Linked DNA regions of Notamacropus eugenii. The protein of the gene in region 2 purifies or fractionates together with the protein of the main gene of each other region. This does not show direct contact. Links are inferred from orthologs where the notes say so. Each region holds a gene or a part of one and is shown on either strand. Other genes may lie near its edges. The genes, in order: EXOC3 and EXOC6B.

Evidence for each region.
Region 1: the proteins of EXOC6B (region 2) and EXOC3 purify together in Homo sapiens (affinity purification with mass spectrometry; 3 studies listed by BioGRID and IntAct, counting the BioPlex papers as one, with this or other methods). This does not show direct contact. The link is inferred for Notamacropus eugenii from reciprocal best matches to the Homo sapiens genes EXOC6B and EXOC3.

The regions. Positions count from the first base shown.
Region 1 is NC_092875.1:343,301,925-343,311,691, reverse strand, and holds the start of EXOC3 (exocyst complex component 3), read right to left. Parts: upstream 4,648-9,767; 5' UTR 4,516-4,647; intron 4,005-4,515; exon of another isoform or gene 3,875-4,004; intron 1-3,874. UniProt on the Homo sapiens protein: Component of the exocyst complex involved in the docking of exocytic vesicles with fusion sites on the plasma membrane.
Region 2 is NC_092872.1:738,937,045-738,947,407, forward strand, and holds the start of EXOC6B (exocyst complex component 6B), read right to left. Parts: upstream 4,056-10,363; 5' UTR 4,018-4,055; coding exon 3,905-4,017; intron 1-3,904. UniProt on the Homo sapiens protein: Component of the exocyst complex involved in the docking of exocytic vesicles with fusion sites on the plasma membrane.

The DNA.
Region 1 (9,767 bases), on a different chromosome or scaffold from region 2:
CTCTTTGGGTTCCATATACATGTTCATTTCTCTTGTAATAAAGCTAGTTTTCATGTAAGTTCCATGAAGCTGTGACTGCTTGACATACTATAACTTCCAAGATCTTGTGCATAAAATCACTAAAAGTAGGTTTCCAGTTTTTAAAAAGATATCCAAATCCTTGTATTTCTGGCCTTTGAGACCCAAACCTTATGACCTCAATTTTAATCCCTCTGGTTTTCAGGTTCCTCATCTATAAAAAGTTGGACTCAATGATGTCTCAGATCACTTCTGGCTCTAAAATACCATGATTCAAATATGAGAACTGCTTTTTAGCAATATTTAACCAGAGAAAGAGAGCAGAATTTTGCAGGCCTGATTTTGAAGGGAAGCCAGGAGCCAATATAAGAACAAAGTCTCCACAAACTACTCAGAGGCATTCTGAGGGAGAAGTAGCACATGCTAGGCAAATCAAACCACCACCACCATTCTGATTATCATCTCCCCTGGACTACTGAGTCTTTGGAATAGCAACGTTTCCAGTCCAGTGCCTATAGCCATTATCCTGACTTAAGTCCCAAAGCTTTAGGAATATCAATGCCATCCAAATCAAATGAATTGCTTCTAGTCCCCCTAGCCATCACTGAAGGGAGAAATTATTGTAGAGAAGGGATCTACCTTCCTCATCTCCAGCAGCAACACTGCTAATCAACTGCCACCAAAAGACTGCTTAGCACAGGGCGCCTTGGAAGTGGCAATAACTCCCAGACCACTTCTCCTGATTCTAGCCTACCTACTCCTTACTGCCATTGGCTAGAGTAGCAACTCCTCTGGAAAACAAGCTGACCATCTCCACCAAATGCCACACACAGAGCAGACAAGCTAACACAGTTGAAGCAGCAAGGCAGCTTGTAACACGTGCCAAGCAAGTACAACCACTACCATCATCTTCACCACCAGCTTACCTCTGACCTTCATACAAATAGTTCAGGACCTTAAAGCCAAGTACCTTTGGAACAGTAATGCTTCCAGAAGCTATGCCTACAGAGATGAGCCTGGCAACTGTTTCTGCAGATGCAACATTGTCAGGTATTGGAGACCCCAAAAAAGGAAAGTTCTTGGAACCAAAGTACCAAAGAAGGTTCAATATCAGAAAGTGACATGATTTTATTGGTGGCAATAACATCAAAAAAGACGCATTACTATCTGCTATGGACAATGGGACATTCCTATCTGCCTTTCAGCTGAACCCTTTCATGTGGTTGTCTCCCTCATTAAAATGAATGTGAGCTCCTTGAGGGCAAAGACTGTCTTACTTGGCCATCTCCAGTCATCCTGATGACTATCTGGTCATTGGATTCAGATGGCTCTGGAGGAGAAGAGAGGCTGGTGACCTGCACACCCCTCCTTCACACAAAACAAAGTCAAGTGCAAATCATGTCGTCATTTCTCTGATGGCATGGTCGTCTTCGGCAATGAAGGACGAACACGACGATCTTTTTTATTTGTAGTAAGTGCTTTACACATAGTAAGCACAGGCACTTAATAAAGGTTTCTTTATTCATTCATGATAATGTAATTATAATTCACAGATGAGTTTTCTTCCTAAATGGATACAAACTACGGCACCAAAATGGCCATCTCCAGGTAGTTCCCTACCCTTGAAGAACCAATTTTTCAGTTCTCATTTCTCACTAAGACTCTTGGAAAGATCTTTCAGTATTTTTCAACCCTCCCTCCCCCAAAGCAACTAAAAAGAAGTAAAAAAGGAATGTACTCTTTAAGGCTAGTTCTCCGTCTCTTATAGATCTATGATCTACTTCAGGGATCAGACTTCCCTATTCACCCACCCTCTCTGCCCACATCATTTCACAGCCACATTTTGTCTAAATTTCCCAGAACTTCTTCCATCTTCCCAGGTTTCTTTTAAACACTACCTCCCCTCATCTGGACCTGTGATATGTAATGAAAAGAGTGCAGAAAAATTTAGTAAAAGAGGGAAAAACTCACCTTGAATTCTTCCCCACTTTTATGAAACATGGTATTGAAAGAAAATCAGATATTGTAACAGGTCTGGTGCATCCTTCTGGGAACTATATGATCTCTACCTCAAATCAAATTATTTTTTAAAGTAGTTCAGAAGTTCCCGGTTAATCAGTAATAAATTGCCAGTATTTTTCAGGACTATATATTAAATTCACTACTGATAAATCTTAGGAACAGAAAAGGTCAGGAGTTTTGAGAGAATTCAAGAGCAGAGCTGTAGAGATATATTTTGTAGAGATATATACTGCATTTATTGAGTCAAAATATATAATCTGCTATCCAACTGGTTATTATTGGAAGATGGCAAATTGTCACTGCTGCCCTTTCAAAACAGATCTTAGATATGAGAAAAGACATTTATATGCTCTGACTTAATGGACGCTGGGAATATTCTCCATTTATTCTCCTCCTCCTTCTCAGTCATCCACCAGTTTCAATTCCAAAATTAAAGATTTCCTTAAGAATTTTTATCAAAATCAAAATGCAAAAAAGAATGGGAGAATATGTTTCAATCAGTCATTTTTGGCAAAGTTTCAAGTATTTCTCCTCATTTCTTTTCTGAGAGTAAGTTTTGATAAGAAGTAGAAGAAATGTGAGGGTTGCTAGTATCAAAACATAAACAGGTAATGGGTAGATAAAAATGAGATTGGGATGGCAAAGACAAGCTTCCCTTACTTTTTGTTTTTGCGTAGGGCTGGCCATTAGGATTTATCCATTATCCATCAGGATTTGAGGAAGTTTGTCATTTCAGATTTGTGGGATCCTTTCCATGGAAAACTAATGTAAGCTCTGATAACAAGTAGGGTCATTTAAACACTGATACATACAATCTCACTAGTGGGGAAGGCAATATTTTATACAAGGGACAGCTTCATGGAGTGGATAGAGCTCTTAGAAAAGGAAATGACAAGAAACACTTTGATGCTTTGCCGCAATTGATTGATTAAAACCTAATATACTACTTCACCCAGACTTTTTTGCATACTAATTTGGCACAAAATTCTAAGGTAAGAAAATTAATCTCTAATTATGTAATTTCAATTATATTTTAGGTGGACATCTGAGAAGGGGAAGAACAAATGGAGAATGACCCCCTACTCATTAAATCAGAATACAGAAATGTCTTTTCCCTTATATTTAAGACTTGCTTTGAAAAGAAGTCAGCAGTAATTTGCCACCTTTCAATAATAACCAGTTGGATTGGGAATTAGACAACTCGGCTTAAAATCCCGGTTTTGCCATTTACTGGCTGTGTGTGACATTGGAGAAATTTAACTTTTCAGGGCCTAAGTTTATCTGGAAAAGGAGGGGACTGCTATATGATCTTCCAGCTCTATGATTCCAAGTCACAGCTACAGAATCACAAAATAATAGAACTGGAATATACCTTAGAGAATATCCAGTTTACCCACCAAGGTCAGATCCCTCCAGGGGTTAGACTACAACCCAGCTCTCCAGCATTTCCAACCTAGGGCCCTTTTTAACCAGGTCTTACGATTTATGGAGCCATTAAGTGACTGTCACTTAGGACTCCGAGTCCTGTCAGTTAGTACCCGTTTATTAAGGAAAGAGCCCGGAATTGGGATGGGAGGGATACAAAGAGGGGCAAACACACGTCCTCAAGAAGCTCCCTCTCTGATCGGGGAGAAGATGTGCAAAAAACTGTATATACAAGACAGACGCCCTGTAAGTGGCAGGGAACCTCAAAGGCAAGGCACTAGCAGCGGTGGCCAGAAGCAGCCTCGTGGACAAGGTGGGACTTCAGAGAAATCATTCTCGTGTTTGCTTGGTTTGGTAAGCCCCTTGGGGAAGTGACCCACACCCCAGGATATGACCTGCCTAGACTAACCGAAAGCCTGAAGTGGAGAGATAGCCCAAAGACAGTGAAATCCGTGTCTGGGGCTGAAACGGGCCTGAGAGCACACGGCCAGTCCCTGCCCGGCTGCTAAATGACTTGCCCCAGATTTCCCGAATCCGCGTGGTCCCGGAGAGCAGCTGCCAGGAGTCGGATCCTACTCAGGCCGAAACCACGGGGGGTCCCTGAGGCCCTCTAGGAGCCCCACCCGCAGGACGCCCCCGGGCCCCGCACCCCGACCCCCCGCACCCCGGGCCCCGCACCCCGACCCCCCGCACCCCGGGCCCCGCACCCCGATCCCCCGCACCCCGGGCCCCCGCACCCCGATCCCCCGCACCCCGAGCAGGAGGGGGAGGAGGAGGAGGAGGAGGAGGAGGAGGAGGCCGGGGGTGGGCGGGGCCCGGCCCGAGCTCCCGCTTCGGATCCAGCCCGGGGCCCCGCTCGGTCCGCCTGCCTGGCTGACCTGGGCGGCTAACTCGGAGACAAGCGGCTGGCGGCCCGAACACCCCGAGGGCTCCGGACCCCACGGACGAGTCTCAGGCTCCGAGCCCCCTGCAGCTGCCTCACCCGTCCTCTGACCCCCGGCCCCCGCCCCGGCCCCGGCCGATCGCTCAGCGCCTCCCGCCGGGCAGTACCTGCTTCGGGGCGGGGCTGAGTGGCCGATACTCGCCCGTCGGAGGCACCGGACACCGAGGTTCGGCCCTCGAGAGGCTCCAAGGCGAGCGCCTCGCCACACCCCCAAGCCTGGCCAAACAGCCGCCGTCACGATCTGGGGGTTTCAGCCCCCCTCTCCGACCGCCGAAGATGTTCGCTTCCGGGATCACCTCAGACCGGAAGTGGGCACTCCACGCTTGGTGACGCGCTCCCGGGCGTTCTTCCGGTCCGCGGGAGCGAGCGGGCTGCCAGACGGACAGCTGATGGTTGCCGGGGCGACGGGCTACCGTAGCCTGTCGGCTCCTAAAGGGAGAGGATGGGGTCGCTTGACAGCGAGCCCTAGAGACGAGTAACCCGGGCGGCAGTCGGCCCCGCTTCCCCTCGGCCCAGTGCGCTCTGGCCTGGGCTCTGGACTCTCTCCACTGGGGCAGCCCCCGCCCTCACCGAGGCCTCCTGACCCCTCCTTGGAAGGAGCCCGCAGGTGGGGACAAACTATCAGCAGAAGGCAGGGGCCGAGCTAAGCCTGGCCATGCAGCTTGGGACATGCCCCTCGGCCCTGCCGGTCTGGGGCGGTTCTCTACAGAATCGGCGAAAGGCTCCCTGCCTCACGCTGGGGGGTCAGCGTTCTCACCCTCACCCATCCCCCACTGGCAGAGGGTTTTCAGAAGTGATCTCCCCCTTCCAAACGTCTAGAGAGCGAAAGGACAGCGACTTACGGCCAAGGACCCGGTGGTCCCAAGAGTCCCCTTCGGGCCCCCAAAACCTCTGCTGCCGTGGCTCTTTGGGCACCCCCTTCCCACTTGTCCGCCTGCCCCTCCCCCTCGCACTCCCCCCTCTGGTACATATGGCTACCAGCCTTCTCTTCCTGCTCTGGGATCAGGGTTGCCCCCGGCTTCTTAATTACCCCGTGGTCAGACAGAGTTCTCTTCTGCATGTATATATGTGTGTATAATATGAGTGTATAGTATATGTATATGCACATACATGACACCAATATAATGTAGTAATACTTTGAGATATATGCGTGCATGTACATATACATACAGCATACACTTCTAAAACGTAGCTTTTAAGTGTTTTTCATCTCTTTAAAGTCTGGACAGTCAGCTCTCTCAAGCCTTTAAGAGCTGACTCCAGCTCACCATCACCATGTTGATTGACTATTGATTAACGTGAGTACTGCGAAGCCCCTCAAACTGGGTGTCTTTGAGACTGACACACATTCGCCTAGAGGCTGTTGCTGTACCATCAGAAGGTGGCTCCGCTGGGTTCTTGAAGACCGCTCACCTGGGCACCAAAGCGGCTGCGGGTCGGTCCCCTCCCTTCTGCTTTGCCTTCTGAAGCCAGAGCAGAAAGCGGAGCCACAAACGCTGAAGAGGAGCTTCCCCTCTGTCCACCGCCAGGTGGTGCTGAAGGGCAATGGGCTCTCGCCGGCGCTCTGGGCCAATGAGCACGAGTCTGTCCAGCCAATCAGGAGCCACTCAATGAAATTTGCGGGCTGATGCCCCCACGTGCCTCCGTTCAACTGACGTTCCTTTGCCAGATTCTTTACAACCCGCGTTCTCTCCAGGTCCTTCACGATGAGTCCAGTAATAGTCCCCTGACTCAAAGCTACTCTCTTCTCCTTTCAAAAGGAGCTGTTGCGTTGAGTTGTTTCTCTGTAACGGCTGACTCTTGGTGATCCCATTGGCAAAGATGCTGGGCTGGTTTGTCATTTCCTTTTCCAGCTCATTTCACAGATGAGCAAACTGAGGCCAGCAGGGTGAAGCACAGCTCCCCAAATCTCCCCTGTCAAATTGATCATCCTTCTAAAAATCAGACCTGTCTCCAAATGTTTATGTGATTACCCGTTGTTTGTTCTTTAGTTCTGAAACAGGCCAATTAGTCAATTACTATAATGCTCTGGCAATCTGAAGCCTTTAACATCAATCTCTTTAATGTTCTTGAAACTGCTTCATTGAAGCCAGATTTATCTAATAAAAAAAAACTTTTCTAACTCTGTAATATTAAAGTATTCTCAAATGAGTCTGACATTCCATCTCATTCACAAAAAAGGTCTATCTTTGACTTTCCAGATACCATCTGAAAATTTTTTCTTCACACGCACTTGCAGTGTACATATTTTTTAAAAGTTCTTTTGTTACTTCTATTAGATATCAAAATATTCATGACAGTGGCAATATTATATATTCTTAAACTATATAAATCTCTTCATACTATTTCTGTCCCATTCATCACTTACCTGCTCCATTTATCTTAAAAACGGAAACCAGGGAAAACGTTCAAATATGAAAAACAAAGAGGTATACGAGTTCTGTACCATATGGAAGGTCGACTTCAAGTTAAGTAAATGGTCATTTTTAAGACTGTAGATGGACGTGTGTATGTAGACATGGGAGATGGGCTCAATATTGGGATGCTGAGCTTTACTTTCAATGCTGTGGACATCATGCCTCTCCTAACTTAGCATAAGATCAAGTTAGGGTTTTTGTTTTGGGTTTGTGGGCTTTTTATTTCCTTTTTATTTGGGAGAGGGAGTGCTTCTATATTGCATTATTAAGTGTGGTCTTAATGCAGTGAATGGGCTTGGAATCAGGAAGACTTTTCCTGAGTTCAAATCTGGCCTCAGACACTTATTAGCTGTGTGACCCCAGGCAAATCACTTAACTCTGTTTGCCTCAGTTCCTCATTAGTGAAATGAGCTGGAGAAGGAAATGGCAAACCGCTCCAGTATCTTTGCCAAGAAGACCCCAAAGGGCTCATGAAGAGTTGGACATGACTGAAAACGACTGAACAAGTACAGTCTTGTATCCCATAGGGATAGTGCTGCTATGAAGATGAGGCACTCAAGTAGCTGTTAACCCAGAGTTCACAAGTTGGTGATGTCTTTTGATATCAGGATATAGGCAAGGTCCAGTAGTGCATCTGATTTCTAGACTCTTGCCTTCTGTTCCTTTCTTCTGAAATTTTGTCAGGCTGCTATTGCTGAACTGAGCAGTTCAGGACGTGAATATTAGAAAGACAGTTGAGAGCTGAGAGTAATTTTTGCCATCATAAAGCAAGCACCATAACAGGAAATTTTCCTATCTTCCTGTCTCTGTTCCAGGTGAGGTATTATGGGTAAAATATTAAAACAAAGACTGCAAACTTCCATAATATGTGATTTGGGGTTATTTTTAGTTTTATCACATTTTTTTTCTTTCACATACTCCCCCCAAAAAAAAAACAAGCTTCAATCGTCACTGGTAAAATATGAAGCCTTTTCACATTTACTCCATTTACAAAATATTTACTCTGAAAGCCAACAATGAGAAGTGGTTCTCATTTAATTTAATAGAAATTAAGAATAAACAGCAGCCTTTTCCAAAAAATAGGGGGCTACAAAAAAGAAGCATACTATGGAAATGTAATTGTCTTCCTAACTACAATAAACACTTATCTATTCTAAGGGTGGACATCAAATTCGAATACAATTCTTAGCAAAGCTAGAGCTGCACAGGTGTTTTGATGGTAGCAGATAAACTGGTGGAGTTCCCTATTTGGTTGATCAGGAATCTAGGAATCTTGCTATGGAGACCAGCAATACATAAAAAAAAAAAATAGTTCCCTAAACCGGTTTGTGGAATTGGCATTTTATAAAAATTCTACATTAGATTTCCTGTGAACCCTGGAAGTTTCTAGCTTTCTACCTCTATGCTTTCAACTTATAAAAATTACAGTTTTGAAATGAAGGAAAAAACAAAATCTGAAGGCTAAGTAAGACTTTTGAGTCTACTGATATTTCCATGTACACTGAATAATAATGAAATAGTTGATCCAACATAGATATGCATTGATGAAACTACTTAACGGAATAGATGCTTTCCTGAAAAATCTGTCATAAAGCATAAATTAAATCATTTCCCCAGTGACTTACATTGTAAAGTTTGAGATGTGTTATCACAAGTAAATTTTGACTACAAAGATTAAATAAAAGTTACACTTAAGAAAGTCATAACATGAGGTGGCACCAAAGGAAGCAGATCCCAGCAGGCTTCAGGGACAGAATCTCCAGGCAGCACAGATCCCTCAACCCACATGTGCCAAAGGTCAGTGGGAGGGTCCTTTAGGCTGGCTGAGAGACAATCGGGGTGTCCCCATAACTCAGGTCTCCTCAGGAGGCAGCAGTAGAGGCAGCAGCAGAAGGCAGCCCCAAAGCAGGCAGTAGGCCCCATCCATTGTTGAAGGTCTCATCAGAAAGCCCCTGAGGGAACTGAGCCCTGGGTGGCAGCCCTGCCCCCACCTGAACAGCTGACTTTAATCTCACACTGAATAGCAGCCCTGCCCCCACCTAAAGCCCTGAGGCTTGGGAGCAGCTCATTTGAATCTCAGCCCCTAAGTGCTGGCTTGGCAGAGCCGGAGGCCAGGAAGTTGTGGAGAGGAAACTCACAAGTCAAGTAACTGGTTGGAAAAACGCCTAAAAAAGGAAAAAAAAAAAAAATAAGACCATAGAAAGTTACTTTCTTGGGGAACAGGTGTCTCTCCCTATCCTTTCAGATGACGAAGAACAAGGCATACTGTCACAGGAAGTCAAGGCCTCTGCCTCCAAAGTTGAACTTAAACTGGGCTCAGGCAAGAGAAGACCTTAAAAAACAACTTAGCAGCTTACTAAAGGAGAATCAAAAAAATGCTGAGGAAAATAACAGCTTTAAAAAGAGGCTAACTCAATTGGAAAAAGAGGTCCAAAAAGCCAACGAGGAGAAGGAGGTTTTAAAAAGCAGAATTACCCAAATGGAGGAGAAGGTTCAAAAGCTCACTGAACAAAATAATTCGTTGAAAGAGAGAATTGAGTTTAGGGAAACGCATGACTATGAGCTAAACCAAGCAGTTGGTAAACAAAACCAAAAATTTGAAAAAAATAGAAGATAATGTGAAACAACTCACTGGAAAAACAACTGACCTGGAAAATAGATCCAGGAGAAATAATTTAAAAATTATTGGACTGCCTGAAAGCCATGATCAAAAAAGAGCCTAGACATTATCTTCCATGAAATTATCAAGGAAAACTGCCCTGATGTTATAGAATCAGAGGGCAAAATGGATATTGAAAGAATTCACTGATCACCTCCTGAAAGAGACCCAAACAGAGAAACTCCTAGGAATATTGTGGCCAAATTTCAGAGTTCCCGGATCAAGGAGAAAATATTGCAAGCAGCTAGAAAGAAACAATTTGAGTACTGTGGAAATACAATCA
Region 2 (10,363 bases):
TCAAGGCTGGAGGGTATCCCTCCTGAGGAGGCCCCTCAGAGGTGAGGGGTGAGGGGAAAGAGAGCAATGCTTCCTAAAGAAAGGAAACAAGCTCTTATTAAGTGCCTGCTACTCTGCGACAGGTACTTAGTAAAGCTCCTTATAAACATGCTCTCATTGGAGACTCACAACAACCCTGATCCTCGGGTGCTACTATCATCCCCATTTTACAGATGAGGAAACTGAAGCAAACAGAGGCTAAAGGATTTGCCCAGCGCCACACAGCCAGGCAGCATCTGAGGCCAGATTCACACTGAGGTCTTTCCTGACTCCAGACCCGGCGCTCTGTCCACTGTGCCACCAGCTGTCTCTAGCAGCATGTCCAAGAAGGAAACTTAAGGATTATCAATCCTACTTCCATATTGAAAGTAAAAGAAACTGAGGCCACAGGTGTGATGTTCCCTGCCCAGGATCACCTGTGCAGAGCTCCAACAAGGTAACTGCTACCCCCATGTCCCAGGGCTGGATTGAAGGCACAAGAAGTACAGGCCATATCCAACAAACCTTTGCCAGAATCATGGGGGGAGGGGGGGTGTTCCCCGGCAGAACAGCCTAGGACCTCAGACAGTGACATCAAAGGCTTAAGGAGAGACCATGAAGATCTTTCGTACCTGTCTAGAGGAGACAGAGACCAAGGACAGAAAGGAAGAGGTCACTTGCACCAATGTTGCCATAGGACAGGAGGGCAGGAAGAACTGGATGTCTCTGGATTGTTCCTGTTTACTGAGGTGGGAAAGAAGCTGGAGAGTTGAGTGATGGGGTTGCCCCTGAGGGCCTGGCACAAGGCAGAGGAGGCCTGCCTGTGACTGGGAGAGCACAGATGAGGATGCCACTGGGGAAGGAAGCTGGCACACACTGGCTACCACACAAAAGAGTCAGCACCTGCTGCCCCTGTTTGGGCAAGGACAAATGGGTCTGCCATCAGGGACAACAGAGAGAAGGGGAGAAAGAAAGCAGGGGGTGGGGGGAGGAGGCCTGCTAATAAGGCCAATAGGAGAGAAAAATGAGAAATGAATGACAACGACCTTAAGGAGAAAGAGGAACAACTTACAGGTGCTCAGGGCAGAAACTAATCGTGCTTGTGTAGAGGCAGCAGGCTGACTGCTGAGCTGAAACAGCTCCTGGTTGAGCAGCGCTACAATTCAGGGAAGGAAGCCCAGTGGGCAGCCCCCATACACAGTCACAGGCTCATGGAAAGCCTGGCTGGGGGGCCAATGGGGGTGGTGGCATAGGCAGGGTCACTCGGAGCAACAGTTCCCAGGGCCTGGACTCCAGTTTTTGACGCCTGCTGGATTTTCTTCCCTCCAGAAGAGAGGCATGAAATCAGGGGTCAGAAAGGTCTGTTATAGGAGATTGCGTCCAGCAGGGAAGGAGACTGAATCTCCCCTTTTGCTTCCAAATTCCCCTAGTCAGGCACATTTTTTAATTCCACCCCCTCCCAGGGCACCAGGTGACACAGGCAGGTTAATTTATTTCTGGGCTGAAAGGTTCCATGATCAAACTCTTTATGGAATTACTGAATTAAGAAGAAACATTAAATAGCTCCAGACTGAGGAAGGTTGGGGATAGAGATCGGAATTGTAAAGGCTGGGGATTTGGGTTAGTTCTTTACGAAGAAAAAAGAAGTATCACCAAAAAAAGAGGCTCATGCCCTAAACTGAGGGGTGAAAGGAGACAAAGGGAATTAAGGTAAGTGGGTGAGGCTCTGGGTGACACAGGAGACAGAGTGCTAGGCTCAGTCAGGAAGGCCTCACTTCCTATCCTTCATCAGATCCCCTAACTCTATGATCCTGGACAAGTCACAAGCTTCAGTTTCCTCATCTGTACAATGGGGACAATAAAAGCCCCTATCTCAAGGGGTTATTGGATCAAAAGATATTATGCAAATCTATTTACAAAGTTCAGATCACTATATAAATGCTAGGCATGAGGCTTGGTGTTTAATGTGAGGGAAGAGGGAGAGAGGCCTTAGCCTTAGGCTAGAGTTTGACTGGCCCTCACTCGAGGAATGAACTAAGTAGTAGGTAGGAAAGAGAAAGTCTCCTAGGGAGGGAGAAGCAGGTCGTCTGTTTGGAGGAGCTGGGATTTTGAAGGGCTGAATTCATTCGGGAGGCTGATACATGGGTACTAATCCCACTCCCAGGGTTAGAGCTGCCTTGACTTTCCTAAGGGACTGGCATGTTTGTCTCCTGGAGAAGATGGGGGCTGGGGCTTGGGGGAGGGAGTCTCAATCCAGAGGAAGTTTGATTCTCAAGAGGGGAGGGGAGGAATCACCTCTGAATATGGTAAGGGGAGCCTAGCTGAGGAGACAAGGGTCTAACTGTCCAGAGCAGCTTGCCTGGAAGAGGAAAGGGGCTGGCTCATCCTCAGGAGGCCTTCCTTACTTTCCAAAGAGGCTAGGTGGTGGAAGAAGGGCATCCCTCCTAAGGGAATGGAATCTGACCCTGTAAAGTCTTACTCAAGGGGGCTAAGTCGGTGCTGGGAGGAGGTCATCCTGAAGAAGGGGTTGAGTGGCCTATTTGTCTGGGAAAAATGTATATGGAGAGGCGCTGACCCTCCTGAATGGAAGAGGGGGACTCTCCATAGGAACCAGAGGCCAGGAGTCTGTTGGTGGGGAAGGTTTCTCTCCCCTCCTGGGAGACCCTGATTGGAGATGGAGATCTCCCTGCTGGGAGAGCCAGACTCCCAAGGAGCTGAAGTTTTTCTTAGGGAAGGGCCTGGAGGGTCTAAGCAGAGGTACATAGCTAGTGAGGAAACCTGACTCTCCAGAGGAATTGGACTATGATGAGAGAAGGCTGGAAGGGCTTGGGGATTGAGGAAGGGACTGACTCTTCAAAAGGGCAAAGGATGGGGGGGGGGGGGGGGGCGGGGTCCAGTGGAAAGTCAGTCTTCCCCAAGAGAGACCATCTCCTATAGCTGTGGGTGTAGCTGAAGGGAAGGAAGACAAGAAGCTTCTCAGGAGTTTTAGAACTAGATCCTGGGGAAGGAGCTGTCTTGGGGATGCCTGTGAAAACTTCACTGGGGGGGGGGGGGTGTTGAAGGGGGGGTTTGCCTGTGGAAGAGGGAGGTGCTGAAATGGAGGGTGTCACTGGGGAGGGTCCTGACCAAATGAGAAGAATGCTTGGAGGGGAGGGGGAAAATCTGGAAGGGGGAAAGGTACAGTGTCTGCCTGTCTTGGACAAGAAGGAGGGTCTCACAAGAAGGAGAGACTGGTTCCTAGGGAGAGGGGGCAAAGTCTGACTGAAAAGGATGTGTAAGGTTCAGGCTATAAGGTGAAGGAAGAGAGGTGCCTGCAGGGAGGGGTGGGCAGGGGCAGCCCCTTCTTTGAAGGAGGAATGTGGATGGGACTAGGGGCAGTCAAGGGGAGAGAGTATGAGGAGGGTGGGTATGGGGGCAGAAGCACTCCCTCTTGGGTAGGGCTTGTCTGGCCCTTCTGAGGGCTCTCGCTCCTGAACGGGGGGCTCGACCCTAGGGGAAGGAGGGAGAGGGCAGGGGGCAGAGGCTTGCTCTTGTGCAGACAGAAAGGGACGGGAGAGCTCCCTGGGGAGGGGCTGGGGCGGAGGGCAGGGGTCACCCTGGGAAGGGGCTCCCTCTTGGAGAAGTGTGCCCTCGCAGGGGGTCGGACGGGGTGAGGGTCCCACCCTGTGGGGTGTCTCGCTCGCTGGGGGTCCTGCCTTCGGGGGCGTCTCTCTCCGGGGGCTCCCCTGGGGAAGGGTGTTCCCTCGGGGAGCCCTCCCAACGCTGGGGGGGTGCCGGCCAGGGCGGGGTTCCCCTCTCCCGGCACGGTCGCCCCCTCCCCGCGGGGTCCCGGCCTCGGGGGGGCGGGGCGCCCCCGGCCCCGGTTCGCTCCGGCCCGGCTCGCTACCTGAGCGTGGGCCCGATGCAGGCCGTGTCCGTGCTCTCGATCTCCCGCAGGATCCGCTCGTGCTCCGCCGCCGTCTCCAGGCTCTCCGCCTCCGCCATCTTCCCCCGCTCCATGGGCCGGGCGGCCGCCCTGCCCCGCCCCGCCCCGGCCTCCCCGCGCCTGCCGCCGCGCTCGGAGCCGCCCGCAGCCTCGCAGCCTCGCCGGCCCCTCCGCAGCCGCCCCGGCCGCCCAGCAACGACCCCGCCCCCGGGCACGCCCCCCAGCGTCAGCGCGCCCAGGCCCCGCCCCGCGCCGTGCGAGGCCGCGCGCGCGGCCTGCCGGGAGATGTAGTCCTCGCCCTCCCTGCCCTGCTCCAAGGAACTGGCTGGACCTCAAGGGCATCCGCCGCCACCCTAACAGAGCGGGAAGCTGAGGCCCAGAGGGAGGAAAGGAGGCAGCGCCCAGATCCTTGGGCGCCAAGCTCAGCGCTCTTCGCATTGCCCTCCAATGGAGACTGGCAGCTCCCTGAGGGCAAGAGGCGGACGTCGGCTTCTCTTTGTCTCCCTGGCGCCTAGACCAGGGCCGGGCACAGAGTAGGACCTCCGTAAGCGCTTGTTGACTGACTGACCGATGAAGTGGGCGTGACTGAGCTTGTCCAATAAGGTCATGATGTCATGCCACCATAGAAAGCGAAAAGGGACTTTTACAGATGAGGAAACTGAGGCTGCCGAGGTCACGCAGCCGGTCGTTACCTGGCCGCCTCACCCCTCCCACTCCTTTCTATCCAGCCATCTGGTCATCCGTACAATGAGGATTATACTTGTTGCAGCCCTGTCTCGGACACATAGAGATTGCGTGACCGTGGGCAAGTCCCTAGGTCTGGGAACACTGGCCGGTTCCACCTTGGACAGCTCTAGTCCTTCACTTGCAGTTACAGTCTTATCTTAGGCACCATCCAACTCCTCTAGTCAATATCCACAAAGTGATACTTGGAGATACAGTATAAACATGGTACCCCCCAACTTGACCCTCCCTGCTGTGTAGACGTTATTTTACTCATCCCTGAATGATTCTCACACTTCCCACAAGGTCTACGCCAGATGTCTTCTCTCCTCAAACCTCCTATGCCATGCCCTCCTTTCTCTCAGCAGAGGACCTCTCCTCCTACTTCACGGAGAAAACTGAGGCCATCCTAAATGAGCAGGACCCTTCCTCTCCAACTGTACCCCTCTCCACTATTCCCCCAACCCTATCTTTTACTCCAGTCTCTGAGAAAGGTATGGTCTTTCTCTCTACAAAGGTCAACTCATTTGCTTGTCTTCTTGATCCTATCCCTTTCTGTCTCCTCTGAGAGGCTGTTCCCTCTGTCATTCCTTCTCTTTATGGATGGATGGATGGATGGATGGATGGATGGATGGATGGATGGATGGATGGATGGACAATGAAATAAATATTAAGCACTTGCTATATACCAAGCATTCTGCTAAGTGCTGGGAATACAATTAGCAACAATCAAGATTGTCCTGGATCTCAAGGAGTTCACATTCTGATAGAAGCAGACAACACACAAAAGAGAGCTGGGAATGCTTTGAAAATACCCAGGATGGAGCAGCTAGTACTTGCCTTGGAATCAGCAGGACCTGAGTTCAAACGTAACCTCGAGCACTTATAAGCCATATAACACTGGGTAAGTCACTTAACCCAAATTGCCTCCAAAAAAAAAGTGTCCAGGAATTTAAATGGAGGCTTCGTTCAGGGCAAGGTAAAATAAAAGCAAAAGCTGACTATCAGAACCCAGGGACCCAGGAGCCTAGTTCAAGTGATTTAAGTAGGAGGGAGCTGAAATTTAAAATGTATTCACTGTATGCCCTCTCCTAACTACACACATGTCCAGACTTCTTCCACTCCTAAACAAATCCTTGTAAGGTATTTTCCTGGATCTCTTCACGTGTTCAGTCAATCCATGTGCCAGACAGAATTCAAAGACAAGCCCAGTCCTCCAGGAGCTTACAGCCCACTTGGAAAGTACAAGACATATACAAATAAGTAAATGCAAGGTAATTTCCCTTTCACTTTCAAATATCTAGACAGAGTCATCTCCACTAGTTACCTCCATTTCTTCACTTCCTTTTTATATCCCTTTCAATCTGGCTTCTGACCTCAATCTTCCTAAGCTGTTCTTTCCAAAATTACTAATACTCTTCTCATGCTTGGTTTCATTGGCTTTTTTTGGTGTCTCGTTCTGCTTTACCTCTTGTCTTTAGCTTTTGAAACATTGTCCATCTCTTCCTCTTCTAGTCTGAGTTCTCTTGGTTCTACCCCTACCTGTCCAGCTGGGCCTTCTGAGTCTCCTTTGCTAGGTCATTGTCCGTCCCCAACCACCCAACTGTATTTTTTCTCTCTCTACTCTCTTAGTTAACTCATCAGTTCCCATGTGTTCAATTATTATCTCTCTGCAGATCCCTACAGGTGGATGCGTCTGGCCCTCATCTCTCTCCTAAATTCCAGTGTCCATCATGAACTATTCCTGGATGACCCAACAGCATCTCAAACTCAGCATGTCCAAAATGTAACTGAGTGACTTCCCCACGTCTTCTCCAAACCTCTCCTTTTTTGCTGAGAGCACCACCATCCTTCCATTGCTCCAGGGATCCAACCCATGGAGAAGCCCACCACTGCCACACCATTGACACTCCTGCTACTCATTCAAACAACTAACCAGATACTGAATGTCTACTGTGTGCTCATTCGGGGGTGTGAAGATGACCAGAAACAGCTCTTGTCCTTGAGGAACTCACATGCTAGCAGGACATGAAATGGACTACAACTCTGCTTAGTGTTTTATAGGGTATCTCATGTGTAAAGATGTGTCTTGTCTTCCCATTCAGATTAGAGCCTCCCTGAGGGCAGGGTCTGTAATACCCCCAGAAGGCTGAGCATTTCCTAAGGGCTGGAGTTGTATTTCTCCCATCAGGTTCAAGTACAGAGAGTCCAATACTAACTGGATAATGGTTTGGGGGTGGGGGGGAGAGAAGAGAACAAGGATTTATTAAGTGCTTACCATATGCCAGGAACTGTGCTAAGCCCTTTACAAATATTTTCTCATTTGAACTTGACTGATATAGCAAGCCTTCTCCCAGGGCATCTCTTGGCCACAGAATGTTTTGGCTGTGTTTGTCACCCCCACGTCCTCAGGGACTGCCTTTTCCTCTGAGTCTAAGTTCACTGTACTCCTCCAGGTGGTGACAACACCATGCTCTCCACCCTGAGCTCCCCCAGGAGCCTGAGCTCAGCTAAGTCCCTGAGCAGCAGGCTGACATCATCCCAGACTTCTGCAGGACAAGGTCCCTAAGGTTCAACCCTGGTCTTCCCCACAGAGCATCTGAGCTACATACACACACACTCATACACACACACATACATACCCACACCCACATTACTCATACATATCAAATACACACACCAACCGCTTTCAAACATACCTCTCTCACATACACGTAACATTCATTCACATACATACACACCTTCAAACTTTTTACACACAACACACTTGCATATATACTATTCACTCATTCACACATATACATATACCACACTCATATACACATACACTCTACTCATACATACCGAATACACACACCAGCCACTCTCACAGATACCCCACTTACAAACATACACTTAAACACATCCACACTACTCACACATACCAAATACACATACCAACCATTCTCACACATATCCCACTCACTCACACACACACACACATCATTCAGTTACACACACAGAAGTACACACACTTTCAAACTTTTTACGCATAACATACTCTTATATACCACTCATTCACAGATACACACACCACACACTCATATATACTACACACATACACACATACATATACATGCATGCACTCAGAGGGCATGGGCAGGAACATGGTGCCAAGAACAAAGATTTGGCCCATTTTCCCATGCTTCCCATGAAGTATTTAGTCCTTTTGGGAGTCCCTGTTTTTAAGAGACAGAGAGCGAGAGAGAGAGAGAGAGAGATACTATTAAAGCATCTTGTTGCCCTCTTCTCTTTTCAGATGGCTTTCAGAAATCCAGGCCTATGCACAAGGGGAAATGAACTGCCTTATCTCCTCTCAGCATTATTACCTTTTCCTGTTCCCTTAAATTCTATTCCCTGAATCCAAGGCATCTCAGGCTCTCTCTCCTCCCTGAAGATGCCATGAGATCTTTCACAGGCTCATATTTATAGGCAACCCATGACCCAGAGCCAAGAGTTCTGCATTTACAGGGATGGGCTTGGCAAATTTATCACACCCGATAAAAGGTACACTCAGAAGGGACTCTGGGAGAGGTGGAGCTGCTTCTTTCAGATCCTGGAGTAAGTCCAAGGTGGAGTTCTGGGGCAGGAAGTGGAATTGCCAAGACTTTTTTCAAATCCTCCTAGATCTGATGTTCACTAGGCCTTTGGTTTAAAGTGCAAGTCCAGTGATGGGGTGTGTCATCAATGAGAATTTGTGGCACAAAAGAAGTTCCTAGCTCTAGAACGAAAAGACCAGCAAGGCCAGCCCTCTCTTTAAGCATCTTGCCCAAGGTCAAATGACCAATAAGCATCAGAGTTAGGACTTGAACCCAGGTCCCCTGAACCAAGAGCCAGTATTCTTTCTGCTGGACTTGGTCATGGAACAAGAACAGGAGATGACGGACAGGCCACTGGAGTGTTCTGCTAATGTCCCCAAGCTACTAAAAGAGTCAAAGGAAAGCCCCTTAAGTGGCCACAGTGAAAACCATGGGTTCCAACAGGTGTAAATGAAGAAGCACAATCCTGACACTGGGAGCAATATGTAGAAAGGAGTAGACATAGGAAGGAAAGAAACTAGCCTTGATTAAGATTCTACTATTGGCCGGGTCCTGTGGCAAGCACTTTACAGATATCGTCTCATTTGATCCTCACATACCCCTGGGAGCAAAGTGCTATTCATTTCCATTTCAGAGAGGAGGAAATCGAGGTTGACAGGCAAAGTGACTTGTATAGTTACACAGCTAGGAAGTGTTTGCAGCAAGATTCAAATTCAGGTCTTCCTGACTCTGGCCCAGTGCCCTATCTGTCATGTGTCAAAACAGCAGGGTCAGTTTGGCAGGACTACAGCATGTGTAAAGGGGACTAAAGATAGGTTTGGATCAGGCTGTGAAGGACTTTAAATGCCAACCAAGAATCAAGTTTGATGTGGGAGCCAATAGGGTGTCACTGGAGTTGAGTAGACAGTTAATGTAGTAAGTGTTGTGCTTTAGAAAATCATTCTGGAAATGTGGAGGGTAGACTGGAATAGGGCAGGATTTGAGGCAGGGAAACCGATTAGAATGTTAGTACAATGTTGAATTTATTGAATCTTTAAAAAAAAAAAAAAGCAAGCTGTTCATAATAGAGTTTCCTAGTTTCATGTACATTCCTCTTTTCTGTTCTATTATGTATACAAAAGGGCTTTTTTTGTTTGGTGTTCATTGAGTTCAGAATAAAAAGATTTTAAATTGAATTGAATTGAATTTGTTTTTTTAAAAAGCTGTTACAATAGTCCAAATAAGAGATGGCAAGCTTCTGAATTAAGATATAGGCTATTTGAGTGGAGAGATGGGACATGCAGGAGAGATTCTGTGGAGGAAAAAACAATAAAATTTGACAATAGACTATATGGGGGGGGGGAGTGAGAGTGAGCAGTTGAGGATATCACTGATGTTACAAGAGGAGGTGAATGGAAGGATGCTGGTGACCTTCAAAAAAACAAGGAAATTTGTTAGGAAGAGAGGCTGATTAGAGGTGAGGTAGGGGAATAAGAAGTCCTCTTTGGGACATGTTGAGTTTGAAATGGCTGTAGGGCATCCAGTTCCAAATGTCCAGTAGGTAGACTAAGTCCTACTTCTTTCCAATGACACCATTGTAACAGCTCACACTGATGTATCCTTTAATGTCTGCAAGGCACTTTACATAAACGATCTCATTTGATCTCACTTTGTTATTATCCCTGTTTTACAGGAAAGAGAACTGAGGTTCACAATGGTTAAGTGACTAGCCCAAAATTACTCATCTAGTAAACATTGGAGACCAGATTAGAAATTAGGATTCATTAACTCCAGGCCTATTATTCGATGCCACAACTGCCTCTCTGATCTTCACAGGGCATGTTCTGAAGGTCTTTAAGCATTCTGGTTACACTATTATGAACTTGTTCCAACTTTGATATATTCTTATTAAAATGGGATACTGAAGGGGTCTGAAAACAGGACAGGTACAGTGTGGGTACAGGTACACTGTCCCTCCCCTCAGTCTGTATACCATACCTCTTTTCATCTTTAGTTTTTATTCAACAAATGAACGATCTCCCTCATGCTGAAATGTAAGGTGGATTTCCTTAACCCAAGCATAGAACTTTATAATTATACCACCACCTCCAATATAATTTTCCTAGACTGAGTCCAATAT